Sus scrofa: one gene and its partners. The protein of the gene in region 5 purifies or fractionates together with the protein of the main gene of each other region. This does not show direct contact. Links are inferred from orthologs where the notes say so. Each region holds a gene or a part of one and is shown on either strand. Other genes may lie near its edges. The genes, in order: HDAC2, RBBP4, DPF2, RB1, SMARCA4, CHD7 and CEBPB.

Region 1 (3,500 bases), on a different chromosome or scaffold from region 5:
AATTGCCATATAATGATTACTTTGAGTATTTTGGACCGGACTTCAAGCTGCATATTAGTCCTTCAAACATGACAAACCAGAACACTCCAGAATATATGGAAAAGATAAAGTAAGACATCATTGAATTGATTTGATAAACCCTCATCTTGATATAGCTTTAGGAGCCTTTCGAAGGCCAAGTGCAGTAGGTCATGTTAAGCTTTATATGTAAGGTATTTATCTTTGTCAAAAGCAGTTGAAAACTTTATTGATTTAATTTTATACGATAATGGAGAATGTATGGGATTCATACATTTTCGGAGTTTTCAGAGTTCCCATCATGGCGCAGTAGAAACGAATCCGACTAGAAAACTGAGGTTGCGGGTTCAATCCCTGGCCTCTCTCAGTGGTTTAAGGATCTGGCATTGCTGTGAGCTGTGGTGTAGGTCACAGAGGTGGCTCAGATCCCACATTGCTGTGGCTGTGGTGTAGGCTGGCGGCCACAGCTCTGATTGGACCCTTAGCCTGGGAAAACTCCATATGCGGCCAGTGCATCCCTAAAACAAAACAAAACAAAACAAAATTTACATCTTGTATTAGTCGATATAGATTTTTCTTACTTTCTGGCTAGCTTGCAGCATATGAAAGTTCCAAGCCACGGAACAAATTCAAGCCAGAGTGCACCAATGCTGGATCCTTAACCAGCTGCACCACGGTGGGAACGCCAAGATGGATTTTTAAATTGAAAAGGACACCAAATTTTAAACTTTCTTGCTTTACACGAAAATGAAATTTATCTGTATTGAAACATTTTGATAACGCTTTACCTTAAAGAGTAAAGTGTTAGACATTGTACTACCCAGGCCTGGGTTTGTGTCCTCTATACCACACAGCAGCTCCGTGACATTTGGCAAGTTAACCTGCCTTTGTGTTTATATTTCCTTCTCCTTAAGATGGGGGGTGAAATATATATCATGTAAATTTTAAGGGTTAGTAATATGTAAAGTATCTGTTTAGTAAATGATAATATTTTACTTCATAGGTTAAGCTAGATAGAAGAGCCAGTTTTTGCTTAATGTTTCCTCTTACATTTAAAAGGGCCTTGAAAGAAAATAATATTTTCTAATAATTGTACATGTTGTAATTTAGACAGCGTTTATTTGAAAATTTACGCATGTTGCCTCATGCACCTGGTGTCCAAATGCAAGCTATTCCAGAAGATGCAGTTCATGAAGACAGTGGAGATGAAGATGGAGAAGATCCAGACAAGAGAATTTCTAGTAAGATAGTGCCCTTATGTGGGTTCTGTTATATTTTCTGGTTTATTAAAAGATCACTACAAATTGAAGGTTTTTTTTTTGGTGGCCCAAGAACCTCACTGTGGTTCACGTTTCGTGAGTATACTATTACTACTGTCTTTTCTTGCCCTCTTTAATCTTCCATAGATTTAATTTCCACTGTCTCAGAGCCTAATTTGAGTATCAGCAATTTCAGTTTATATAACTACATATATGATCAGAAGTTTCCACAAATGAACCATTTATGTAGAGTGAGTTGAATGACATTGAGCACCTTCTGTTTGATGTTACAGTCTCTAATTTCACTTGCTATGATGTGTAGATTTATAGCATAATTGTGTGGTCTATACTTGGTGTTAACAGTATTTTTTATTTCTCTCTGCTCTGAAATAAAAAGGTTACTTTTTATATGAAGATATCATTCCCACTTCCTATTAGGAAAGCACAATTTTTTTTTTCCTCTTAAGCAGTTTGTTTTGTTTTTTAATGAGGAGTAACTTTGAATTACTCCTGGATTAAAGCTGTATTTTCAGAATTTAGCAAGCCATACATTCAGTTCTTATCTCAAAATCATTAGGCATCTGTTATCCAAATTTTTTTTCTTTATAGGGCTGCACCTGTGGCATATGTAAGTTCCCAGGCTAGGGGTCGAATCAGAGCTGTACCTGAGGCCTACGCCACAGCCACGGCAACACTAGATCAGAGCTGCATCTGCAACCTGTACCACAGCTCACAGCAACATTGGATGCTTAATCCACTGAGCGAGGCCAGAGGTCAAACCTGCATCCTCATGGACACTCTGTCTGGTTCTTAACCCACTGAACTACATCGGGAACTTCTATACTTTTAAATGTTGTAACTGGCTAGTTCATTTGTACAGGAGTGCACTATAACAGTTGTCAGACATTGAGATTGCTTTTGTCAAAACTATATTAAAAATCTTTAATGTATTAGTTCGAGCATCAGACAAACGGATAGCGTGTGATGAAGAATTCTCAGATTCAGAGGACGAAGGGGAAGGAGGCCGTAGAAATGTGGCTGATCATAAGAAAGGAGCAAAGAAAGCTAGAATTGAAGAAGACAAGAAGGAAACAGAGGACAAAAAAGCAGGTAAATGTGTTTTAATTGTAAATTTTTAAAAATGAGCTGCACTGCAGTTGTTACGAGATCCTGAGGTCAATTGCACGGGTATTGGAGAGGGGGTAGGTGTGCCAAGTAGGTGACACCCCCCCCATGTTATTTAGAGCTAAATGTTATTAGTCACATTTGCTTTTATAATATAGGAAACGATCTCTTCTTAGTGACATAGGCTTAAAATAGTCAACATTGCATTATGATACAGATTGGGTAAGAGAGAGGACAAGGTAGTTTTAGATCCATTTGTAGCCTGTCAGCAAAGCTGAAATCCTAAGAGAGTTTTTAACTACCTGTAAGTTTATTTGATAGGAATAAAACACAAAAGGGCCACATTATCTATCCTTATACCAGTTTCACCATTTTGAAAAGGCTCAGAGAATAGGCTTTGTTCAGAAATTGTTTGAAGGAAACAAAAACTATAGAAAGGAAGGGATTTGGAAGCTGGGCTGGGAGATCATAACTTTCTGATGTCTTAACTTTAAAAATGCTGTCAGTTTATTGAGAAAATAGATGCTTTAGGGCATTGAATTTGCTACCAGAAAGTATTATCTTTTTTCTGAGTTCCCGGAGCACTAATACATACCTTGATCATTTTATTTTATTTTAAGACATCGTAGTATAGCACCTCATGAGGGATTTTATATAGCTCTCTGCTGGATTGACGTGTTCATGGCTAGAGAATACAGTGTCTTAAATCTCTGTATTCTCAGCACCTGGTGCATTTCTTTTTTTGTCTTTTTGCCATTTTCGTGGGCTGCTCCCATGGCATATGGAGATTCCTAGGTTAGGGGTCCATTTGAAGCTGTAGCCGCCAGCCTACACCAGAGCCACAGCAGTGCAGGATCCGAGCCGCGTCTGCAGCCTGCACCACAGCTCACAGCAACGCCAGATCCTTAACCCACTGAGCAGCAAGGCCAGGGATTGAACCTGCAACCTCATGGTTCCTAGTCGGATTCGTTAACCACTGCACCATGACTGGAACTCCGTGGTACATTTCTTGATGGATACCTGATACCAATGTGCAGTAATGGCAGTGAGCACAGGTTTCAGTTGACCTGTTAATTTTGACCATGTAGCTTGTAGAAA
Region 2 (4,067 bases), on a different chromosome or scaffold from region 5:
CTGTAGCACATCAAGTTCCCAGGCTAGGGGCTGAATCAGAGCTACAGCTGCCAGCCACAGCCACGCTCTGAATCTGAGCCACATTTGCGACCTACACCACAGCTCACGGCAACACTGGATCCTTTAATCCACTGCCAGGGGCAGGGACTGAATCCACATCCTCATGGATACTGGTTGGGTTCGTTACTGCTGAGCCACAACGGGAACTCCAGATTTCCCCATTTTTAAAAAGCTACTACGAAAGTAGCATGCTCATTAAGTTGGCAATGAAATTTCTATAAAATTTCTATTACTTGTTGAGCTGAAACATAGGCCAACAACCACATTTTACAAATATCTTGACTCAAAAGACCTGAGTTCTGAAGGAACCTAGTTATTTAGCATACATATAACTTTCAGCTGTTACTCTGAACACCAACAGTTTTGTAATAAAAAATCCATTATTCCCCCAGGCACGCTCAGTTTGTTAAAGCTTTATACTACTTAAAGTCACCTTCCTTTTCACACTGTCACTTCCCACTGAAAGCCTTTCCTGATATTCCAAGTTGAGATAATTTTCCTTTCTCTGATCATTTTATCTTTGCCACTTTCATAATTATACCTGCCTATTCACTAGACTTGAAAGCAGGTACCATGTCACATTTACCTTTGCATTAACTAACTAGAAAATACCACTGACTGCCGAGATTCAAACATTTTGATGTTAAAAACTGAACTCATCCTGATAGTTTCTGAAAGCTGACAAGTTTTACATTACCATTTGGTCAACTACAGCTATAATCCCACTATTCAATTCAGTGTTAGGAAAAGGAAACATCTCCCACACTGCTGGTGGGAAAGCAAACTGGTGCAGCTATTATGGAAAACAGTATGTAAATGCCTCAGAAAACTAAGGATAGAGTTACCATATGACCCAGCAATCCTACTCCCCAGTATATATCCAGACAAAACTATAATTCAAAATGATACATGTACCGCTATGTTCACAGCAGCATTATTCACAATAGCCAAGACATGGGAACAATCTGACAGATGAATAAAGATGTGGTACATATATACAATGGAATACTACTCAGCCGTAAAAAGGAAGAAATAATGCCATTTGCAGCAACCTGGATGCAATTAGATGATCATACTAAGTGAAATCAGAAAGAGAAAGACAAATATCATTTATATTGGAGAGTCTAAAATATGACAAACCTATCTACAAAACAGAAACAGACTCAGATATAGGAAATAAATTTGTGGTTGCCAAGGGGGTTGGGAGAGGGAGCAGGAGGTGGGGGTTAGCAGATGTAATAAGCTAGTCTACACGAAAGTGGTAATAAACAAGATCCTACTGTATAACAAAGAAAATTATATTCAGTGTCCTAGGAAAACCATAATGGAAAAGAATATATATCCAAAAAAAAGTGTACACAGGAAACTGTGATTGGGTCACTTTGCTATACAACAGAAACCGAAGAAGCATGGAAAATCAGCTGTACTTTAAAAACATAACTGAATCACTTTGCCGTACAGCAGAAATTTACACAACATTGTAAATCAGTACCTCAATAAAAACAAGTAAATAAAAAGAAAACATCAGTATGTTCTCTCTTATATGCTAAACTGCAAAATAATTTTACATTTTGCCTTACTTTCTGGCCTAGGAAAAAAATGTCACCAATAGGCTTTGATCACGTGTCCTCTACGGGTGACTGGAGAGAGGAAAACAGGGAAAATCAATGTGAGAAATCTACACTGAGGACACAACAAAACAGCATTCGAGAGATTCCTATCACCTGGTTACATCTGGAAGCCACTGTGCAGTTAGGCTGGGCCACTCCAGAGCATGGGTCATCACCAAATCGTAAAGAAAAGGGGTGTTCTTTTTCCATATTTTGTACTCTTCGTTGATCACACGTTCTTCTACTGCGTCATCAAAGGCTGCTAAAAAATTAAGAACAAATTAAGTTAGCGACCACAAACGGAAACCGAGTAAACACTTCCAAAGCTACCGTCACGGCTCCTGAATCCTGATTCTGAAATGGAGATTAGTCTAGATCTCCCGGAGGCGCAGGCACCACCACCGCTCTCCAGCTTCGCCGGGCGGGAACTGCTCGGGTAATCCCGACCAGACACTCCGTTAGCCCTTCGGGCGACGGCGCCCGCCGTCGAGCGCACAGAACCGACGGTGAGACCGAGCACCGACCCCTGCGGGTAGGGAGAGCGGCCGGGAGGACCCGGAGAGAGGCAGGTAGACCGACGGGGAGCGCGGGAGGGACCAAACACCCCCCCCGAGGCCACCACGGCCAGCCTCACACCGCTGCGCCGGGCCTCCGCTCCAGAGGGGCTGGCGCGCCATGAGCCCGCCCCGCGGGGCGATTTTTCCTCACGCCTGCGATGGCGGGGACGGCCCTAGGCAGAGTCTGGCCTGCCCCCACCGTTAGGCCGCGTTGAGGCCGCGGCGCAAGCCTGACTCCTCCCGCCCTCCTGGGGCGGCCCCGGCACCCTCACCTTCCTTGTCCGCCATGGCGTACAGGCAAGCCGGGGGGATCCTGGGGCAGAGCGTTGCGAGAGGGGCGGGGAGGCTGCGAGCGCTCCTTCTGCGCGCGCGGCCTCTATTGTTTCCTGCTGCCCCTGCGTGAGGGCCGACTCGCGCACCTTCGCGCCAACATCGGCCAATCGGAGTGCGCCGAACGTCGGTGTGGGCGGGGAAGCCGCGATCGCAGCCTATCCAGACGCGCGGAGCAGCTTGCCTCCAGGCCCAGGCGCGCGCTCTGCCCCTGCCCCCACACGGCCCCAAGCCGACTTCCTCCGATCACGCGCGCGCGCTCGCGCGCGCGGGAGTAGTAGAAGTGCACCCGCCCGGGGTCACGTGAGAGGTTTAGTCCGCACGCTTTTGGGGGCAGCCATTTTCGTGAAGGGTGTTAAGCTAGCGACCCCTTCAAAGTAGTACTTTAGATGGGAAAATGTAGGATGCTTCCGGGTCTAGTTATCTATTGTGGGGCTAGGCGGCAAGAAAAGGCCTCTATCATTCAGATCGAAAGGTGTCTAATTCGTGTCCCTTATTCCACGTCCTCCAAATTATTTGTTTCCTTAGTCGTAGGAAGAACTATTAAGCAAGAGCAGAAAGTGGGTCCTTCGACTTTTAATGATGTGCTCCAAACCCTGGGACACAGAACGGAAGTCTAGAAGGATTAAGTACCTCCCAGGGAATGGAGCCCTGGTCCTTTAAGGGTGTGCCAAGGGGCGGAGTCTAGAGCGGAAGTTATAAGTCAGGGCCGAAGTCCAGCTGAAGAAGGGCGGAAGCTGAGTTTGGGTCCAAAAGCACAATCATGGCGCTGGAAGGGGAAGATTTTAGAGATTACAATTTGACTGAGGAGCAGAAGGCGATCAAGGCCAAGTATCCTCCAGTCAATCGGAAGTACGAGTGTGAGTAGGTGTCTCACTTCTCTCATTACCTGGGGCTTCTGGCCTCGCCTTCCACTTTGTCCCCTACGGTACTTCCGGCACGTTCCCTTTTAGCCCTGTTTGTCTCTTCTGTGCTTGTCCCGCGGATGCTGAAGGGAAAAGCCACCCGGTCTGAATCGGAAATCTGGGCTTCCACATTTAGTCTTTTGAACTTTTTCTACGTGTGCCTATTCACGCTTACTTTGTGGGAATTTTATTGGTGTATTAATTCTAAACACAACCGTGTTTTCAAGCGTTTGCGGAGTTGTCGTCTCCTAAGAGTGTGGCTAGGTTAGGGGACTGAAAGCTCTCAGTAGGGAACTTCTAACTTGGTGTTTTACCTGTATCGTGTTAGTAAAAAGACCTGGTTTTGCCATATTTAGTTAAGTGACTTTAGGCAAATCACATAACCTTTCTTTGCATTCAGTTCCTTCATGTGAGGGATAATTGAGATAAAAATAAATGTGAAAGTGTAGTGCAGACTCTGAAGTTCTATATAAACCTTAAGCTATCATCCCTAAAGGTGGCTGTGGTCTGGGAAGGACTAATCTGACTCTAATATCCCTGCTTAAAATATTTCATTAAATTCCCCTTGTCTTCAGTATAGAATCCAACTATTTACCATAGCTTAC
Region 3 (3,500 bases), about 63 Mb from region 5:
CACCTCAGCTTACATTTCTGCTCCTCAGACCTCTGGGAAACCGGGGTGGGTGGCTGCGAGTCCTCCTTGTCCTCGCCCTCCTCCTCAGCCAGGTGGGAATGGGCATAGTGGTAGCTGAGGCCTGGTCGGTTCTTGTAACGTTTTCCGCAAACTGAGTGGGTTAAAGATCACAGAGAACGGTGTTAGGACGTGAGAGGGCCATATCCCTGCCCCACTAAGCTGGGAGCTCTACCTGAGGCAAAGGTAACCACCCCCATCAGCTCTGTTCAGGGACAGGCCTTCAGTGGGAGCTGCCTCCCCCTGGCCAGGAACCTCAGGTCCTGGGGCTCTCTGGCTTGCATGGCTCTTTTTACTAACCCCAGCCCAAGGCCATCTCTACTCTTCTGCACAGGCTCTTAGGAAGGCTGAGCCCTTGCCCCATCACCACTTGCCCTGGGAATAGTCTGGGGAGCTCCAAGTCAGGAAGGAAAGGGAATTTCTATAGCCTTGCAATATGGCAGGACAGACAGAGGGAGGAGGGACTCCAAACTTGTTTACCTCTCAGTAAATGCGGGAGGTTCACACTACCCCATATACACCACAGCCCATCTCTGCCCAATGTGGATAAACGAGCAGGGGGTGGACCTCTTGGGGGATCACCTATCAACTAATCTGCTGGAGTAGTTATTCCCCAAAGAAACTCAAAGACACCCCCACATCAGTGCCCCACCCAACCTCACCAACCAGCAAGAAAGCAGATCCCCATGAGGCATCTCGTACTCTTGAGCAGTGATACCAAAAAGAGCAAGGGGGCAGCAGAAAAGGGACGAGGAAGGGATGGGTGGAGGAGGTGGCGGATGGCAGGGAACATTAGCTGACCACCATGTGTCTGTTTTGGGGAAGGGGCAGCAGAGGGATCTGTTTGTAATGCGTTCTTTACAACGCTTTTGAAGCCACCCCATGCAGTGGGCCCGAGCAGCCCTAGGAGCAAGTCTGTGGGAGACAAGCAGTGGTAAAGGCAGCTTCCAGGGCTGTGAGGAGTGGAGCACAACAGAAGGCCCACTGCTCCTATCCGCATGCCATTCCACAGTTTAAAACCAGCATCACAGATGAGAAAGGCAGGAACAAGGGAGGTGGGACAAGGGATAGGAAAACCAAAAGTCTGAAAAGTTGAGAGAGCTACCTCTCTGGGGCGCTTTCGAGGTATGCTTTTGTTTGAAACTATCTGAAAGACAGAAAGAAAAGTCATGAGAAGAAGGCCTTGATACACTCGAGACAGGTGCGGCAGCAGCAGGAAAGCAGAGCAAACGAGAGAGAAACCTCAGCGGCGATGGTGCTCCCAGGGTAGAGGGACAGAAGTGGGGCGAGTCAGAGAAAAGGGGGAGAGAGAACAGACATTGAAAAAGTCGGTGTTGGACTCCTGGGGCTCTGGTTCGACTAAGGCAAGCAGACCTGAATGCCATTTATTGAGGCCAACCCTGCCTGCTGGGTGTGCCCCCTATTGGCACCCCCACCCCAGAGGACAGCAGACATCTCCCCCAGAACATGCAGGGCCCACCCGTCGTGTAGCAGAAGCCAGCACCCCTCAGGGATCTCAGAGGGAACCAGTCAGGGGCAGGACAAGAGTCCAGGCTTGTTTTACCATTCTGAGCAAGAACACAACCTTCCCTCCTCTCATATCCCGAGGAGCTGGGTCCAAGGCAAGGACTACCCACCCACTCGCGAGGCACTCACTGTCACAGGCATAGGGTTTGTCCCGATCCTCCAGGATGGAAGCGTCCAGCTTCTTACGGGCACTGCCCACACCTTTACCCTGTGAAAAAAGAGTAAAAAGATGGCTTTAACTAAGGTATCTCAGCCTAAAGAGTTAAGACTCACCTGGAAGCGGCTGCGAATCTCACTCAAGAGGGAAAATGACAACAGGTAATAAAACTGTGGGAAAACAGTAAGCAATAAATCCCCACTCCCTCAGGCTGGAGGCCGCACCCTGGCCCCTCACCTTGGACTTCCCCTTGCCCCGACGCTTGGGAGTGTCTTCTTCATAGTCCTCATCATCGAGGTCATCCAGGAAGTCATCCGGTTCTAGGATCCGCTGAGTGGACAAGAGGATTAGGACAGGCAGAAATAAGGTACTCCCAAAAGCTCCCCGACAACGGGGAGCCAAGGCTGCCCAGAACCTCCTCTGTTTTAGTTCTTCTCTTCCCCCCCGGCCGTACCACATGAAGAAGTTCCCAGGGGAGTTCCCGTCATGGCACAGTGGTTAACGAATCTAATATCCACGAGGAACCGGGTTCCATCCCTGGCCTTGCTCAGTGGGTTAAGGATCCAGCACTGCAGCTGGCCAGCAGCTGCAGCTCCAATTTGACCCCTAGCCTGGAAACTCCCATATGCCATAGGTACAGCAAAAATAAAATAAAAATAGGCGTTCCCGTTGTGGCTCAGCAATAATGAACCTAACTAGCAACCATGAGGATGTGAGCTCAGTGAGTTAAGGATCTGGCGTTGCCGTAAGCTGTAGTGTAGGTTGCAGATGTGGCTTGGATCCCGTGTTGCTGTGGCTGTGGCACAGGCTGGTGGCTACAGCTCCAATTTGACCCTCAGCCTGAGAACCTCCATATGCCAAGCGTGTGGCCCTAAAAAGACAAAAAAAAAAAAAAAAAAAGTTCCCAGGGATCAAACTTGTGCCACAGCAGCGACCTGAGCTACTGCAGTAACAATGCTGATCCTTACTGTACTGACCCACAAGGGAACTCCCAGAACCTCCTCTGTGACCTGGTCCCTTCCCTCCAGCCTCACTGCTGTTCTTTCAATGTTCTGGGTTCTCCTTCCTCTGGGCCTCTCTTCATGTTGTTCCCCTAACTTAGAATGCCTTTCCTACCATCTCCAAGTAGCCAAATCAAATGCCATGTTTTCATAAAACTTTCCCTGATACCCAAGGTAGCCATGCCCTCTCCTGCCTGTGGACTGCCACCCTGGAAGCATGTTATCAGTGGTTCCCTCTGACACTTCATTTCCTACATTTAAATTAGAGCTTTGCTGCTTCCTTGTGGGAAGCTACTTTTTTTTTTTTAAACTCTGCTTCAGCCTCCTTCTACATGTTTTGTTTCTTTTTCACAGCTGCACCTGCGGCATAAGGAAGGTCTCAGGCTATGGGTCAAATCAGAGCTGGAGCTGCTGGCCTATAGCATCGAGGGATCTGAGCCATATCTGTGACCTATGCCACAGCTTGTGGCAACACTGGATCCTTAACCCACTGAATGAGGCCAGGGATTGACCCTTCATCCTCACAAAGACTAACTGGGTTCTTAACCTGCTGAGACAGCAGGAACTCCAGCCTCCATATATGTGAAATGGGGTTGTAGAGACTGGAGAGAAGGATGGAAAAGTATTTAGTACAGCACCTGGAATATTTTTAGCTCTCATTATTTTTATGTATAGTTCTATCTTCCTTGTTGGTAAGCACCAAAAAACCTTGGTGACAAAAGAAGACCAATCAATGCCAGAGTTCCCGTTGTGGTGCA
Region 4 (3,500 bases), on a different chromosome or scaffold from region 5:
CCAACACAAAAAAAGTTTCAGTTAAATATTTTTCTTTATCTGTTTTAGGAAGAAGAACGATTATCCATTCAAAATTTTAGGTAAATTCTTGTTTTTGTAAAACAATTTCATCTTTTTATAAAAGTAAATGTTACAAAATCATTCTTTTTTTCCTTTAGCAAACTCCTGAATGACAACATCTTTCATATGTCTTTGTTGGCATGCGCTCTTGAGGTTGTAATGGCTACATATAGCAGTAAGTTAAATTTTAGTAAATAAACATTTTAGTTCAATTTAAAGTTAAAAAAATTTAAGGTGTGGTGTGGGGTTTTTTTTGTTGTTGTTTTGTTTTTTTTGTTTTGTTTTTTTTTAGTGGGGCAGTGGAGGAGTTAAGGAGAAGAAATGCATATTTTAGCTCTGTGTATACTGAAGAATGTAATTGGTCACCATAAACCATGCAAGTGCGTTACTAACCTGAATTATTTCAGGTCATCTTGGGAATAGTTTCACTAGGCTCCTATTCTAGGCTATACAGAATCCAGGAACTGTACCTGTTGAAATCTCTTCAAAGACTTATGAGATTATAAAACACCAGAGGATTATTATCAAGCAGCTTCCACTGATATGGAAGTACTGCCACATATGTATTCTATAGCTACTAGACTAAAGGTTGGAGGTAGAATCCACCAGATAAACAAAACAGAGGCCATCAGTACTGGGGTTTTTTGTTTTTTGTTTTTTTTTTAATATAACTTTAAACATGTATTATTTTGCGAATAATGTTGCAAATGTCAAGAAAGTTTTGTTTGCAAAAAAAAGAGAGAAAATCTTCTGATACAAATATATAAGAGAAACTTAAATTAGTAAACAAATGTGGGCAACTCTGATCCTCATTGATAACCAAGAAGTGCACACTTTAAAAAGATACCATTTTCTAACCAAATTAGCAAAATCTTAAAGGATCTTTCCCCCCTTAACCACGGATTCATGCGACAATTAAAATGGATAGGCTAAAGCCTCTTAGTTGTTAAACCTGTCCCTGGTACAAGTTTAGGGTATTTAAACCTTTAAATGTTTGGTATAAGCTGTTAGCCGTCTATCTAGGAAAGACATATATGCATATACACTCAAACTTTGAAAGCCTATTTCCTGTGAGTCTCTGGACCCCAGGATAAAAAAATTCTAAATAAAAAATTTTGCTAAGCCTTTCTACTCTGTTTTAATATATTTTTTTGATTAAAAACTTTCCAGCCAAAAAATATGTAGTGCAAAGCTTTGCATTTCATACCTGAGTTACATTTTTTTCTTTCATTTTTAGGAAGTACGTCTCAGAATCTTGATACTGGAACAGATTTGTCCTTCCCGTGGATTCTGAATGTACTTAATTTAAAAGCTTTTGATTTTTACAAAGTGATTGAAAGTTTTATCAAAGCAGAAGCCAACTTGACCAGAGAAATGATTAAACATTTAGAACGATGTGAACATCGAATCATGGAATCCCTTGCTTGGCGCTCAGTAAGTAACTAGCTAAAATAACTAGATATTCATATGCATAGAGATAATTCTTATCTGTTAGTGAAAGGCATTTGTTAAAATTTACCTCAGTAGTAAATATGCAATTTAATGAATAATGTGTTTTCAGTGTATAGCCCAAGAATCAAGTGGAGTTTTAGAATGGAGTTTTCTTTGAGTTCCCCAGACTATCTGATACAGGGATTTATTTAGGAATACCTTTTCTTAAAGCTTGGCACTTTAAAACAGAGCAGAATTCTCTAAAGCTTCACAGATAAGCAAAAGCTAAGAGACTTCAGCAACACTAAACCAGCTTTACAACAAATACTAAAGGAACTTCTCTAGACAGAAAAGAAAAGGCCACAACCAGAAACAAAAATACGACAAATGACAAGGCTCACCAGTAAAGGCATATATATATATATATATATATATATATATATATATATATATATATACAGTAAGATACGAAATCATCCACGCACAATTATGCCACCAAAATCAGAGATCGTGAGAAGAGGAGGGTACAAATGCAGGACACTGGAGATGCACTTGCAATTAAGAGACCAACAACTTAAAACAATCTTACATACGTATAGACTCATATCAAAACTTCAGAATAACTGCAAACCAAAAATCTACAATTGATACACAAACAAATAAGAAAAATCAACTCAAATACAACACTAAAGATAGTCATCAAACCACAAGAGGAGAGAACAAGAGAAGAAGGGAAAAAAGAGCAACAAAAACAAATCCAAAACAGACCAGAATTCTTTAAAGTATTTGAGAAATTTATTTAAAATAGAGGTGTCATGTTGAAAATTCTCATGTCTGCTCTTAAATTCAGCAAAATGATTAAAAATTTGAGTTTCATGTGCTAAGCATACATCTTTTCATTTAAGTTAGTATGTAGAAATGACAGAAAAATAATGACTTCAGTTAGATTAGAGTTTTAATCTGTCCATGTAAATTTTTTAATCTTTTGGTGTTTTAAAATGTAATGGCTAAGAGATAACTTGTTTCGTAGTGCTTTTCTTATGCTGGGGTGTAGAGAGAGTGGATAGAAAAGGAGAGAAGTAGGGGAAGTTGATAGATGTTGTATTTCGGTGATTGAATATAGTGACTCCTTTACTGGAGCTTCCACTTTATAAGTAAAGGAGTGGTTAGGAGCAAACGCTCAGAATCTGTAGCTTAAATGAAAGTAACATAAATAAAACAAGTAGATAAGAATACTTTTCAGATGCTGCTCTCCTTTCTTCCCCAAAATTGAAACCAAGGCACTATTGTATCATCTGAAAGTGACTATTGTCATTTCTTGTAGAGAACTACTTTTATTTCCATTAGTGCACATCTGCCGTGTGCCTTTCATTGAGGTAGACGTTGTGAGGATATGAGCTCTGAAAAATCATAGAGGAAATAGTAGCATTGTACTGTATAAAAATTGCTCGTGCTTAAGCCCATTTAGTTCAGTTACTGACTTCTAAGATTCTGAACAACATTCCTTTATTTTTGAGGATTTGTTGAGAAAAAGTTACATGAACAAAGTCTAGGAAGAGGGTATTTTTTTTAATAATAGAATGATGTGGAAGTCATATGCTTCTGAATTTAAATTCTAAGTGTGGTATTTATTGGGGATGAAATTATAGACAGTTTTTCATGTTTCAATTTTTAAAAAATCAGCAAATACTGCTTTTTCAATCATAAACAGAATGGAGTGCTAGTGGGTAACTGTGGAGATAAGTCTGCCACACAGATGATGTGAATTTTTCCTATTGACAGTAATTAACATTTCAGAGAAGAGACATACCATAGATATATTTGGACTTTCAAAGACTTGAGGGTGTTTTTTTATTTGTCTTTTTAGGGCTGCACTCTCGCCATATGGAGGTTCCCAGGCTAGGGGTCTAATCAGAGCTGTAGCCGCTGGCCTATGCCAGAGCCACAGCAATGCCAGATCTGAGCCTCGTCTGTGACCTACACCACAGCTCACAGGCTGCGCCAGATTC
Region 5 (3,992 bases):
TTACAAAGCGCCAGGCACTGTCACCCCTATTTCCTTGAGGCACCAAGAGGGAAGCAGCAAAGCTAGGCGTCAGACCTGGATGTTTGACTGGAGAGCTCTGGACCTCAGTTTCTCCACTGGCAAAATCTTCTCACCAGACATTCACCCAACACACCCAGTCCCTCCCCGTCTCCCACATCACAAAGAGCTAGGACATGGAGCTGGTGTGGGGTTACAACCCAACGTTTGAGGACCCACAAGAGGTAAAAAAGGTAAATAAATAAATATGTGTTCCTGTTGAAGTGCTTTTCACTGACAACAAATTTGGAGACCACTGCACTGCCCCCCCGCTAAAGCTCTGGTGAGGTCAGCTCACAACCACCCCTGGGCTCAAAAACCTTCAAGATCACCATCTCCTGACGGGTTGGACACAAAATGATTTTAAGTGGCATGTGGAGCAATGTTTATTATTGTCACAATTATGTATGCATTGATTTTAAAGAAAATTAGGAAAATATATATAACCAGCACATCAAACCCGGGATTTCTGGAATACAGAATGACTCTAAATTATGTTTTCAGTTTTTTTATACAGCTAATTTACATATATATAAATAATATAAACACCAATAAGTTGAGGGCTCATTACATGTCAGGCTCTGCAGATGGTAAGCCACTTCCCACACTGTCTTTTGAACTCTCACAATAACTCTCTGAGGTGACACCACTATCGTACCTGTTTCACAAGAGGGGAGTCTACTGTTAAGTGTCTTGCTTGAGGTCAAACTAGGATTAAGAGATGGGTATAAATCCAGGAGGTCTGATTCCAGAACTAGCTCTCCACACCACCACCTCATATTAACCACAGCCCTACATCTTCATTTTTGGGGGAATGAGGTTTGGGAAACAATGGCCTAGAAAGTTAAAACAACAACAAAAACCCTCCAACAACTAACATTTATCGCCTACAACCCACTTTCAGTCGTGGGCCAAGCACTTCACACACAGCTTCACTCAATCCTCCTGAACACCCTCCTCTTCATCCACAAATGGCTGCTAAGGGCCTACTACGTGCTTCAGGAGATCAGGGAGACAGAGCTGTGAGAGCTCTGATGGCCCTTGGAAAAGAATAGATGTGTAATTACAAACCCAGATAACTGCTACACAAGAAAGGATCAAGGTGATGTGAGAATAGCAGAGGGGAGCAATGACTGGTCCCAGATGGTCAAATGCAACCTGGACATCCTCCCTGATCCTCAGTAAAGGCTCCTCTTCCACGCAACCTCCCTAATCTCTGACTCCCATCACTGGGCATCCATCCACTGTGTTCCTCTCACATGACAGGCCAAGGGGAGTAGTCCCCACATTTACCACCTGTTCCCCTACAAGGCTGGAGAGGCTCCCAAGGCATCCAACCTCCAATCATCTAACACCCAGTAGGGACTCAACAAACTTTTGTTTAACAATAAAGGAGGAGATTGGACTGAACAACAAAATAGTGCTTCCCTCTAACCAGGAACCATTTTATTGGCTTTCACCAACTCCATTTGTGGCATTATTGCCATTTCACAAATGAGGAAACTAAGAGGTTCAGAAAAATTAAGTTATTTGCCTAAGGTCACATAGCTAAGTAACCAGCAACGCCAGAAATCAAACCCAACTCCAGTCTGTCAATTGAAAGTGAAAACTTACTTCAAATTCCTAGGAAGTGGTTCTAACATTATTCCCTACTTTACCTAAGGATTCACTGGGGGTGGGGGCGTGGGGTGGCTACCTAGGCTAGTCTTCAAGATCGGCACAAAACACCTTCTCCTTAAAGATCCACATCTTAAATAAAAGCGTTAATCTGGAAAATCAATTGCGAGGAAGGGAAAAGGATGGAAAACTAAAACAAAGCTTTCAACAGCAGTTCTCCCGGTCCTTCCCGACTAGCTGCGGATCCTCCGATTTAAGGCAAACATTCTGGAGTCACTACTTTACAAGGGGCTGAAAGAGTTATTTACCTTGCCTTGAAAACCTAAAATTGACTTTTTAAAAATGAAATTTTAGGTCATCTAAACCAATTGTGCTGCTAATGTTCATGTCCAGGCGACGCTGGACATATCTGGGGGTTTTCCTACTGAGCGATGACCGCAGCCTTGTTAAAAGGCAACAATCGAGTCGGACCCGTTACAACGTAGCCAGAATAGCCCGGACGCCTGGCTATTGTTATAGCCGCAGCTGAGACCGCGATGGGGGCCGGGCCCGTGGCCCGCCGACTGGGCGAAGAGCTTTGTCCGGCGACCCCGGCGAGAGCGCGCGCGAGGGGCGCGCGGCCTCCACGCGGCCCGGGCCCCCACCCCACCCGCCGCGGATACTGTAGCCGCCGCGGCCTCGATGCACTGTGGCCTTCCCCGCGCGCGCGGTGCAGGCCAGGCGTCTTGACCCTCGGGCGCCGCCGTACCCCGGCCCTGCTCCGGGCGCCGGCGGCCCCCTCCCCCCTCGGAACCCCGGCTCCATTCAAACCGTCCTCCCAAGCCCCGCGCCGCGCTCCCCCCGCGATCTGCGTTCCTTACCGGGAGTCGCCGGTGCCGTCGCCTTCCTGGCGCCGCCCCCGCCCCTCCGCGCGAGGCCGGGGGCAGAATGGGCGTCTCGCCTCTTCTCACGAAACAAAGAAGCCGCCGCTGCCGCCGCCAAGCGAGGGTAAGCCTCGCGCGCGCGCCCGCCGGCCTCGGCCGCCCCCCCCACGCCACCCGCGCCCCCGCTGCGCGCGCACTCGTCACCTCCCCTCCCCCCCACCACTAAGCGCCTCTCCCGCTTCCGCCGCCCGCCCGGTCTCGTGCGCGTGCCCGCCCGCCCTTCCGCTCCTAGAGCGCGTGCGTGTCGGCCGCGGGGGTGGGGTGGGGAGGGGGCGGGGCCAGAGAGAGCTAGCGCCCCGGACGCACCTCCCTACTTTGTGCGGGACGCGCCTGCGCTTGCGCATGGGGGTGGTTCTTCGCCTTCCGCACGTCGTGCGTCGCCACTGCTCCGAGCATGCGCAGAGCGGGCGCCACTGCGGCGGCGGTAGTGGTGGTGGTAGTGATGGTGGTGGTGGGTGGCTGGGGGATGGGACTGGATGGCGGCAGGGTCTTTGGGGAAGGGGTGGCAGAGGGGCCCTGAGACCGGGAAGTGAGGATGCAAGGCAGTGCTTGAGGGGAAGAGGCGGGGAGGCTGGGCCAGAGATGAGCAGAGCCGGCCTCCGGGTCAAGGGCGAACTTAGGAACCGTTTTCATCCTTGGTAGGGGGGATGTGGTGCCCTTTGGGCAGTCTGACGGGTACGGACTGTGGCTGTCTTTTGTGCAGAGCCTATGTAAGGCTATTAATTAGCAGATATTTATTGATTTGCTGTTGAGTTGCGGCACCGGACATAAAATTTCAGCTGCTGTGGCTCTCATGATCTAATGGGGGAGGCAGGCGCGAGGCAAGAGAACCAAGTAAAATATAAAATACACTGTGTTGAAATGGAGACATGAAAAGTGGTGGAAATTTTAAAGCGGCAGCTAGGGAAGGCCGCGTTGGGAAGACATTTGAGTCCAGTAGTAAAAGCAGTGAGGGAGAGAGCCTTGTTAGAAGTATGAAGGCCTAGAGCTTGTAGGCGGCTTCCTCTATGTTTTTAAAGTATCTCCAGCCCCACCTCATTTAGCCCCACAACTGAGCAAATGCTCCCCAAAGTCAAGTCCCACAGCCTGTGACTGTCCCTATCCCTGCTTCTCCCAGGCCCACTCTTCCTCATTTTTCAGGTCTCAGTTGACTTACCACCTCCACCAGTCTTGCCTCCTCTTTGATCACTGCCTCCATTCCCTTTCCTTCACATTTCTTGGGTACCTTTTTAAGTTTTTTTATTATAGTTGATTTATAATATCCTGTCAGTTTCTGCTGTACAGCATCCTTCTCTTCAATTTAAATGGCATGATGTTGTCAATTTTAGTCCCTAGTGAATACCCAGCATCTACTGTAGTGTGCCACCCCCACCCCCCCACAAGACAGTTTAAAAA
Region 6 (3,500 bases), on a different chromosome or scaffold from region 5:
AGCGAGAAAAGGTTCCTGAAACTTGCAGCTGCAACCGTGCCGCAACTCGGGGTTTTCCATCAAAACAAGGTGACTCGTTAACATTCCAATGACAGTGTGGGGAAGGGCACTGCAGTGCCCTCCTTTTGAAAATATACTAAGGAATAATATTAGTATGCAACTTATAAACCATTTCTTTGTCAACTGGGGGGGGAACCACCAAGTTCATTTACCAATCGTACACAAAAAGAAACATACTTTAGGCCATGAACTATATGATAAAGGTGCTCTCCTCTGATGTAATTGCCTTGAACATAAGAAATAATCACACAATTGTCAGCTAACGACTTTACGTTAGGCAAACAGGGCAGTAGTCTCTATAAACTGGCACTATTTCAGGTACTTAGCAAATGGTTTGCTCACAAAAACTATACTTCTAAAGATGCTTAAAAGTTCTCACCAGCTGTTGTAAAACACAAATATATAAATGACCTTAATCCCCAAAACAGTTATGTTATCAAAGAAATTCAAAGTTATGAAAAACCAAGAATAAGCAAGAACTAAAATTCTTCACAGAAGAGATGAGGCTGTGTAGATGAACTCACTCTCTAAATAAGACCTGGCTGTTGTGAAGCTGCAGCAGCAGCCCCGCTGGGGGGCAGGGCCTGTCCCTGACTCGTCAGCACCCATGCCCCCCACTTTCAGGGAGCCCTACCTGGGGCACGTATTTCCATGGGTTCTTCCTTATCTTCTGGAGGAGAATTTGCAAATTCCTCGAAAGCAAAGCAAGAAAGAGAAATTATTTTAATTTGCAGTTTAATTTTGCTTTATCTTTTAAAGAAAAGGCCATCATCTATAAAGTTTAACAAGTCTTATATGGGCACATAATATTTTACTGGGGCTGTAAAAGTCAATGTACTCAAGTTCTTACATCTATTTCATCCTTGAATGGCGTTCTGGTTGGTTTGTATTCTGGGTCTTCATCTTCTCTATCAAATTCTCCCCTATATAAAATTTTTAAAAATGTTGAAATCATACTGATTAGCAAGAGACTGAAGGGAGCCTGGGAAAGAGTAAGAACCTGTCTGATGCTACTTTAAATTCAGAGTCTGACATCAAAAGCGACTCTATTGGTATTTAAAACGTGCAGCCGTGAAGGGTGGGTGGGTGGGTGGGGGTACTGTCATCACTTGGAAAAGACAGACAAGCTGCAGATTATCTAGATCATATATTGTGTTGAAATAGTCATTATGATATATAAACAGACTAAACTGGTAAACATCACTTAAGTCCAAATCAGATGCAATGTAATGCACGGTGCGGCATAGGAAGTGAACCCTGCCAGTAGATGTGACACTGACATAAAGTTTATTAAAATTTTAAAATGTCCTTCTTACCCGTCACCGCCATCTGCTAGCATGTCTGTTCCTCTCTGCTCGGCAGCGATGGCCTTGGCATCGGGCATACCAACTCGTTCCAGGAAGCAGAGCGCGGGGTCAGCTCGCATGGAATTGTACTTCTCATACCCTGTGCCGTCCCACCGGCCCGCAGAGGACACACACGGAAACAAGGAAGGCCCGTCACTGCCAGAATCACAGCACCGCCGCAACACAGCACGTTCGTTTCACCATCGAGGTGATCACTTACTTTGTATTTAAAGGAACCGGGCTGCAGTAGCCCTTTCTCTGGAACGCTCAGCCCAGGGCAGATTTGGGGGTGGGAGGGGGCAGGTTCCATCACAGGGATGTCATCAGAATGACCATGAATACTAACAGAAGAACGGGTTCTGAATAACTGCGAGAGGCCTGGGAAGATGTTTGACCCTATTGTCCCCAGGATCTCATTTTGCTTGGCATTTAAAAGGCTTCGTAATGTTCCTTGATGACCTCTGCAACGGTCCACCCCACCCTCCTTGTGAACAGCTTCGGTCCTGCAGGAACTTGCACCACTAGCTGAGAAATCCCTGTCTGCGGAAGGCCAGCGAACCTGTCTTATTAGGTTTAGGATGATGCATGTCAGGAAGATGACACTGTTCCCTCTATGGTTTTCAAACTGCAATTTGCTTTTTGACTGCCCAAGTTGACTAGATGGAAAATGGCAGATCCCAACAGTGCACTGCGGGAAAATGATTTTTAGGCTGAGCTCACAAAACACGGCTGCAGTACATAAGCAGAACAGCACAATTCAATTAGGATGTGTACGACAACACACCGCTCCTAACTGCTGTAGAGCCGCAAGCCAAACTGTAATCATGAAAGGTTTTATAAGCCATCATTCTCCCCTTTAGTCAGGCTGGGCTGCTGAGAATACCTCGGCGACCTCCAGAGACCTGGGATTATAATCAGGAATCGTTCACTGTATAGATCATGCCAGTTCTGCTTCCCCAGCCTTTCAAAGTTAACAAGGCTGCATCCCACTCCGGGGAGCCCGAGTTCTCCGCACTGACATTTGTGAAATATTGCTTGGAACAAAGCCCAGGAGGCACTTGTACAGATTAATAGCAGAGGTTAAGCCCACCGTCCACTTTGACACGGGCTGGCAGAGCTCGCAAGGGGAGCCGGGTTGGAAGCAAAGTTTAGGGAGAGCTATAGGACGAACTGGGCTGGTTTTAAAACAAATATGGTTTGGGTTTTATTTACAGCCAAGAAAGAAATGTTTTCTTCTCAAATACTCAACAAACATTCAAAAACAGCATCTGATATTTACAGTTCATATTAGATTTTTTAGTACAGGAAAATGGTAGACGCCAAGAGTCCTTTGGAACTAGCCTCATGAATATTATGACTTTGGAAAGAGTGTGCAAAAGGCTCTAAAACAGAGACAAAGCCCCACGGTCAAGCTGGGGTCCAGCAGAGACACCCCTTACCGTGTTTGAACACTCCAATCAGGAGCGACTTGTCAGCTTCCTTATCCCACCAGTCTGTGGGGACTTCTGCGTGGAAGGGCTCAGGTATCCACACGTCGGCTTCACTGTAAGGACAACCGTGGGTGTCATATTTAGGACAAATACCAGCATCAAAAAGGCTGCTGCCTGATGAATACAACACACGCCCCTTGCTCACCAGCAGCACCTGAGCAGGGCTCGCGCGCGCGTGGGGAACAAGCAAAGGTTAAAAGAAAGGGCAGGAGTCAGCCGCCTTCTAGCAGGATAGACATGAACTTCATCACCCAGCGTCCTGTCATAAAGGTCATCTCAGAGCACCCTTAACTCGGTTCCCGCCTCCCTGTACGTCCACACACACACATACAAACAGGCTTCTCCTGATTCTCTTCACGTCCCCGGGGCTGGGAGGACAAACACTGCGTTCGTTCGAGACGCAAGAAGGGAGATGCGCTGCTGCTGGGTGACAGGGGTGGGAAAGGCGGTCTGTGATGCGGTCCCACCCACACCCCGGGCCATCGCCGCTGTCTTGGACCGAGAGACGTGGGCTCGCACCCACCTCGAGTCAGCACCATCCAGGATCTTCTCGGCCTGGTCCCCTATCACTTCCTGTCTCAGGTAGTAGAGCATGCGGACACGC
Region 7 (2,817 bases), on a different chromosome or scaffold from region 5:
CCAAAAAAACAACAACAAAAACAAAAACAACAGCAACAGAAACAACCCCGTAGGAACATCTTTAAGCGATTACTCAGGGCCCGGCTGACAGTTACACGTGGGTTGCGTCAGTCCCGTGTACACACGCGTTCAGCCATGTTTAAACCGATTGCATCAACTTCGAAACCGGCCCGCCCGCCGGCGCCTGGAGAGGGGGCAGGAGGAGAGGCAGAGTTTATCATTCATCTGTACACATAGACATTTCTTCTTTAAATAACACCACGGGCGGGCGCCTCATCTGCATGTGCGGTTGGTTTGGACAAAAATATAGATATATATAATAAAATATTAAAATTACCGACGAGCTCCCCGCGCTGCCAAGTGCCCCAGTGCCAAAGTTTTGCCGGCGCCACTGGGGGCGGGGGCGGGAGCGCGGGCGCTTCCCGGAGTCACTGTGGCCGCGGCGCGCCCGGCAGCGCGGAGGCCGGCGGGCCGGCAGGGGGACGCGCGCGGGGGCCGCGCTAGCAGTGGCCGGAGGAGGCGAGCAGGGGCTCGGGCAGCTGCTTGAACAAGTTCCGCAGGGTGCTGAGCTCGCGCGACAGCTGCTCCACCTTCTTCTGGAGCCGCTCGTTCTCGGCCGTGAGCTCCAGGACCTTATGCTGCGTCTCCAGGTTGCGCATCTTGGCCTTGTCGCGGCTCTTGCGCACCGCGATGTTGTTGCGCTCACGCCGGATCTTGTACTCGTCGCTGTGCTTATCCACGGTCTTCTTGGTCTTACTCTTGACCTGCGAGGGCGCCGGCGCCGCCCCCGCGTAGCAGGCGGCTGGGGGCGCCTTGGCGTCGGCGGGGCTCGGCGTGCCGGGCGGGCTGGACGACGAGGATGTGGACAGGCTCCCGCTGCTGCCGCTCGGCACCGCCTGGTAGCCGAGGTAGGCGCGCAGCGCATACGGGAAGCCAGCCGCCATGCCTGCGGCGCCGCCGCCCGGCGCTCCGGCCTCCTCCTTCCGCTTGCAGTCCGCGGGCTCGAAGCCCGGCTCCGCCTTGAGCTCGGCCGGCTGCGGCGGCGGCGGCGGGGGCGGCGGGTGTAGGGGCGCGAAGCAGCCCGGGTGCAGCGCGTTCTTGGCGGCCCCCAGACGCCCCAGGCTCACGTAGCCGTATTCGGCCGCCTTCTTGCAGTTCTTGCCCCCGTAGTCGTCGGAGAAGAGATCGGAGAGGAAGTCGTGGTGCTGCCCGGAGGAGGCGGGCGCGGGGGCGGGCGCGGGCGGAGCCGCCTCGAAGGTGTCGGTGGCCGTGGCCGGCGCCGGGGCCTGCGGCGCGCCCAGCGGCTCCAGGTATGGGCTGAAGTCGATGGCGCGCTCGTGGTCACCGATGCTACCCAGCTCGCCGGCGGGGGGGCGCGGCCCGGGTCTGGCCGCGGGGGGCGCCGCGGGGGCCGCCTTGCCGCCGTACGCAGCAGCCAAGCAGTCCGCCTCGTAGTAGAAGTTGGCCACTTCCATGGATTTAAAGGCAGGCGGCGGCGGCAGGGGGAGACATGCTGGGTCCCAGGCCACCAGGCGTTGCATGAACGCGGGTGCCCGGGGAGGGGGCCTGGGGCTGCCCGCTCCGGCCGGCCCGCAGGTGGCGCGGCCTCCTGGCTCCGAACTGTCGCTGCTGTGTCGCTGCTGCTGCTGTTGCTTTTTCCGCTGGATTGGCCGCTATTAGTGCGGGGGCTGGTAGCTGGACCCTCGGGTGGGTCCCCTTCCCGGTCCCGTGCGCGGCTCTGACTCGCTAAAGTTTCTCCAGAGCCCGGTTATTTATAAGGCGGGCCATGGCAACGGCTGCGTCACGCCTGGCGGCCGCCCCAACCCCTCCCCGGGCACGCAGAGGACACGCTGTGGCCGCCCGAGACCCCCGGCAGGGCGGCGGTGGGGCACCGTGACCTGACTGAAGATCTGGAGCGCGCCCTTGGGGGGTCCTCCGGCTTCGGGGGCCGCCACACGCCCCCTGCCCACCCCCACCCTTCGGACTCAGGATTGGAAGCGAGAAGAGGCGCGAACCCGCCCCCGGACCGCCCCCTCTGGGCTGGAGGCTGTACTAGAAGGGAGGGGGGAATCCGGGGAGGGGGCGACGCCATCGCCTTCCCCCACCCTAAACGCGGCCGCGGCCCGCCCCCTGCTGGAGGAGGCCGTGGCTTCAAGATCAGCGGCTCTCAGCCCCAACTCCTTAAGGAGGGGACGCGCCCCAGGCGGGATCCTGGAGACCCCAAACCCCTGCTCTGGCTATTGGAGAGGTAGCCCATCTCCAAAGCCCTTCCAGGGCCCGGCCCCGCCCCTAAACTTGCCCTCGTCCCCAACTTTTGGAAGGAGAGGATTTCACGCCTATAGGGACTTCTCTCCTAAATGCGAAGACTTGTGGTTGGGGGCTTTGGGAGTGCAAGTCTGGAGCAAGCTCCACTGGAGCATCTGCCAGGGGCCCGACCTTGCCCCTCTCCTAGCCCTGCCCAGCACAGCCGCCCGCCCCCTCAGACCACACCCGGGTATTCTCCAGCCCCACCCCACTCCCACTTGGGCACCCAAAGTGTAGAAGGGGGTGTAGGTGCTAAGCTCTGACATTACTGTGTCACCTTGCGCAGGTCACTTAGCTAACCTTCAATCCTTGAAGGTCTCAAAACTTATTATTAGTTGTATTATTGTCTCCACCACAGACTCCCAAACATAAGGCTTTCTGCTCTAAGATGCACAGCAGAGAGAAGGGCCTCTCCCAGGGTGTAAAGAGGCCCAGAGGGGGCATAGCACACCCCAGGTCAGATGGCCTCATGTCCCCCACTATTCTCAAAGAAAAGCCCTGGTCCCTACACTC

The links.
Region 1: the proteins of SMARCA4 (region 5) and HDAC2 purify together in Homo sapiens (affinity purification with western blotting; 9 studies listed by BioGRID and IntAct, with this or other methods). This does not show direct contact. The link is inferred for Sus scrofa from reciprocal best matches to the Homo sapiens genes SMARCA4 and HDAC2.
Region 2: the proteins of SMARCA4 (region 5) and RBBP4 purify together in Homo sapiens (affinity purification with mass spectrometry; 3 studies listed by BioGRID, with this or other methods). This does not show direct contact. The link is inferred for Sus scrofa from reciprocal best matches to the Homo sapiens genes SMARCA4 and RBBP4.
Region 3: the proteins of SMARCA4 (region 5) and DPF2 purify together in Homo sapiens (affinity purification with mass spectrometry; 13 studies listed by BioGRID and IntAct, counting the BioPlex papers as one, with this or other methods). This does not show direct contact. The link is inferred for Sus scrofa from reciprocal best matches to the Homo sapiens genes SMARCA4 and DPF2.
Region 4: the proteins of SMARCA4 (region 5) and RB1 purify together in Homo sapiens (affinity purification with western blotting; 7 studies listed by BioGRID, with this or other methods). This does not show direct contact. The link is inferred for Sus scrofa from reciprocal best matches to the Homo sapiens genes SMARCA4 and RB1.
Region 6: the proteins of SMARCA4 (region 5) and CHD7 purify together in Homo sapiens (affinity purification with mass spectrometry; 3 studies listed by BioGRID and IntAct, with this or other methods). This does not show direct contact. The link is inferred for Sus scrofa from reciprocal best matches to the Homo sapiens genes SMARCA4 and CHD7.
Region 7: the proteins of SMARCA4 (region 5) and CEBPB purify together in Homo sapiens (affinity purification with western blotting; 3 studies listed by BioGRID, with this or other methods). This does not show direct contact. The link is inferred for Sus scrofa from reciprocal best matches to the Homo sapiens genes SMARCA4 and CEBPB.

The regions. Positions count from the first base shown.
Region 1 is NC_010443.5:79,870,598-79,874,097, reverse strand, and holds part of HDAC2 (histone deacetylase 2), read left to right. Parts: coding exon 1-109; intron 110-1,128; coding exon 1,129-1,259; intron 1,260-2,231; coding exon 2,232-2,387; intron 2,388-3,500. UniProt on the Homo sapiens protein: Histone deacetylase that catalyzes the deacetylation of lysine residues on the N-terminal part of the core histones (H2A, H2B, H3 and H4).
Region 2 is NC_010448.4:88,985,825-88,989,891, reverse strand, and holds the start of RBBP4 (histone-binding protein RBBP4), read right to left. Parts: upstream 2,801-4,067; 5' UTR 2,516-2,800; coding exon 2,500-2,515; intron 1,933-2,499; coding exon 1,785-1,932; intron 1-1,784. Other genes in the region: ZBTB8OS (protein archease), read left to right, coding at 3,321-3,417. UniProt on the Homo sapiens protein: Core histone-binding subunit that may target chromatin assembly factors, chromatin remodeling factors and histone deacetylases to their histone substrates in a manner that is regulated by nucleosomal DNA.
Region 3 is NC_010444.4:6,876,499-6,879,998, forward strand, and holds part of DPF2 (zinc finger protein ubi-d4), read right to left. Parts: intron 2,072-3,500; coding exon 1,979-2,071; intron 1,793-1,978; coding exon 1,714-1,792; intron 1,205-1,713; coding exon of another isoform or gene 1,163-1,204; intron 152-1,162; coding exon 14-151; intron 1-13. UniProt on the Homo sapiens protein: Plays an active role in transcriptional regulation by binding modified histones H3 and H4. Is a negative regulator of myeloid differentiation of hematopoietic progenitor cells. Might also have a role in the development and maturation of lymphoid cells.
Region 4 is NC_010453.5:19,248,136-19,251,635, reverse strand, and holds part of RB1 (retinoblastoma-associated protein), read left to right. Parts: intron 1-48; coding exon 49-80; intron 81-158; coding exon 159-235; intron 236-1,297; coding exon 1,298-1,494; intron 1,495-3,500. UniProt on the Homo sapiens protein: Tumor suppressor that is a key regulator of the G1/S transition of the cell cycle. The hypophosphorylated form binds transcription regulators of the E2F family, preventing transcription of E2F-responsive genes.
Region 5 is NC_010444.4:69,716,015-69,720,006, reverse strand, and holds the start of SMARCA4 (transcription activator BRG1), read right to left. Parts: upstream 2,801-3,992; 5' UTR 2,535-2,800; exon of another isoform or gene 1-2,534. UniProt on the Homo sapiens protein: ATPase involved in transcriptional activation and repression of select genes by chromatin remodeling (alteration of DNA-nucleosome topology).
Region 6 is NC_010446.5:72,586,944-72,590,443, forward strand, and holds part of CHD7 (chromodomain-helicase-DNA-binding protein 7), read right to left. Parts: coding exon 3,420-3,500; intron 2,950-3,419; coding exon 2,846-2,949; intron 1,507-2,845; coding exon 1,377-1,506; intron 984-1,376; coding exon 911-983; intron 753-910; coding exon 695-752; intron 1-694. UniProt on the Homo sapiens protein: ATP-dependent chromatin-remodeling factor, slides nucleosomes along DNA; nucleosome sliding requires ATP. Probable transcription regulator. May be involved in the in 45S precursor rRNA production.
Region 7 is NC_010459.5:51,721,357-51,724,173, reverse strand, and holds CEBPB (CCAAT/enhancer-binding protein beta), read right to left. Parts: upstream 1,542-2,817; coding exon 501-1,541; downstream 1-500. UniProt on the Homo sapiens protein: Important transcription factor regulating the expression of genes involved in immune and inflammatory responses. Also plays a significant role in adipogenesis, as well as in the gluconeogenic pathway, liver regeneration, and hematopoiesis.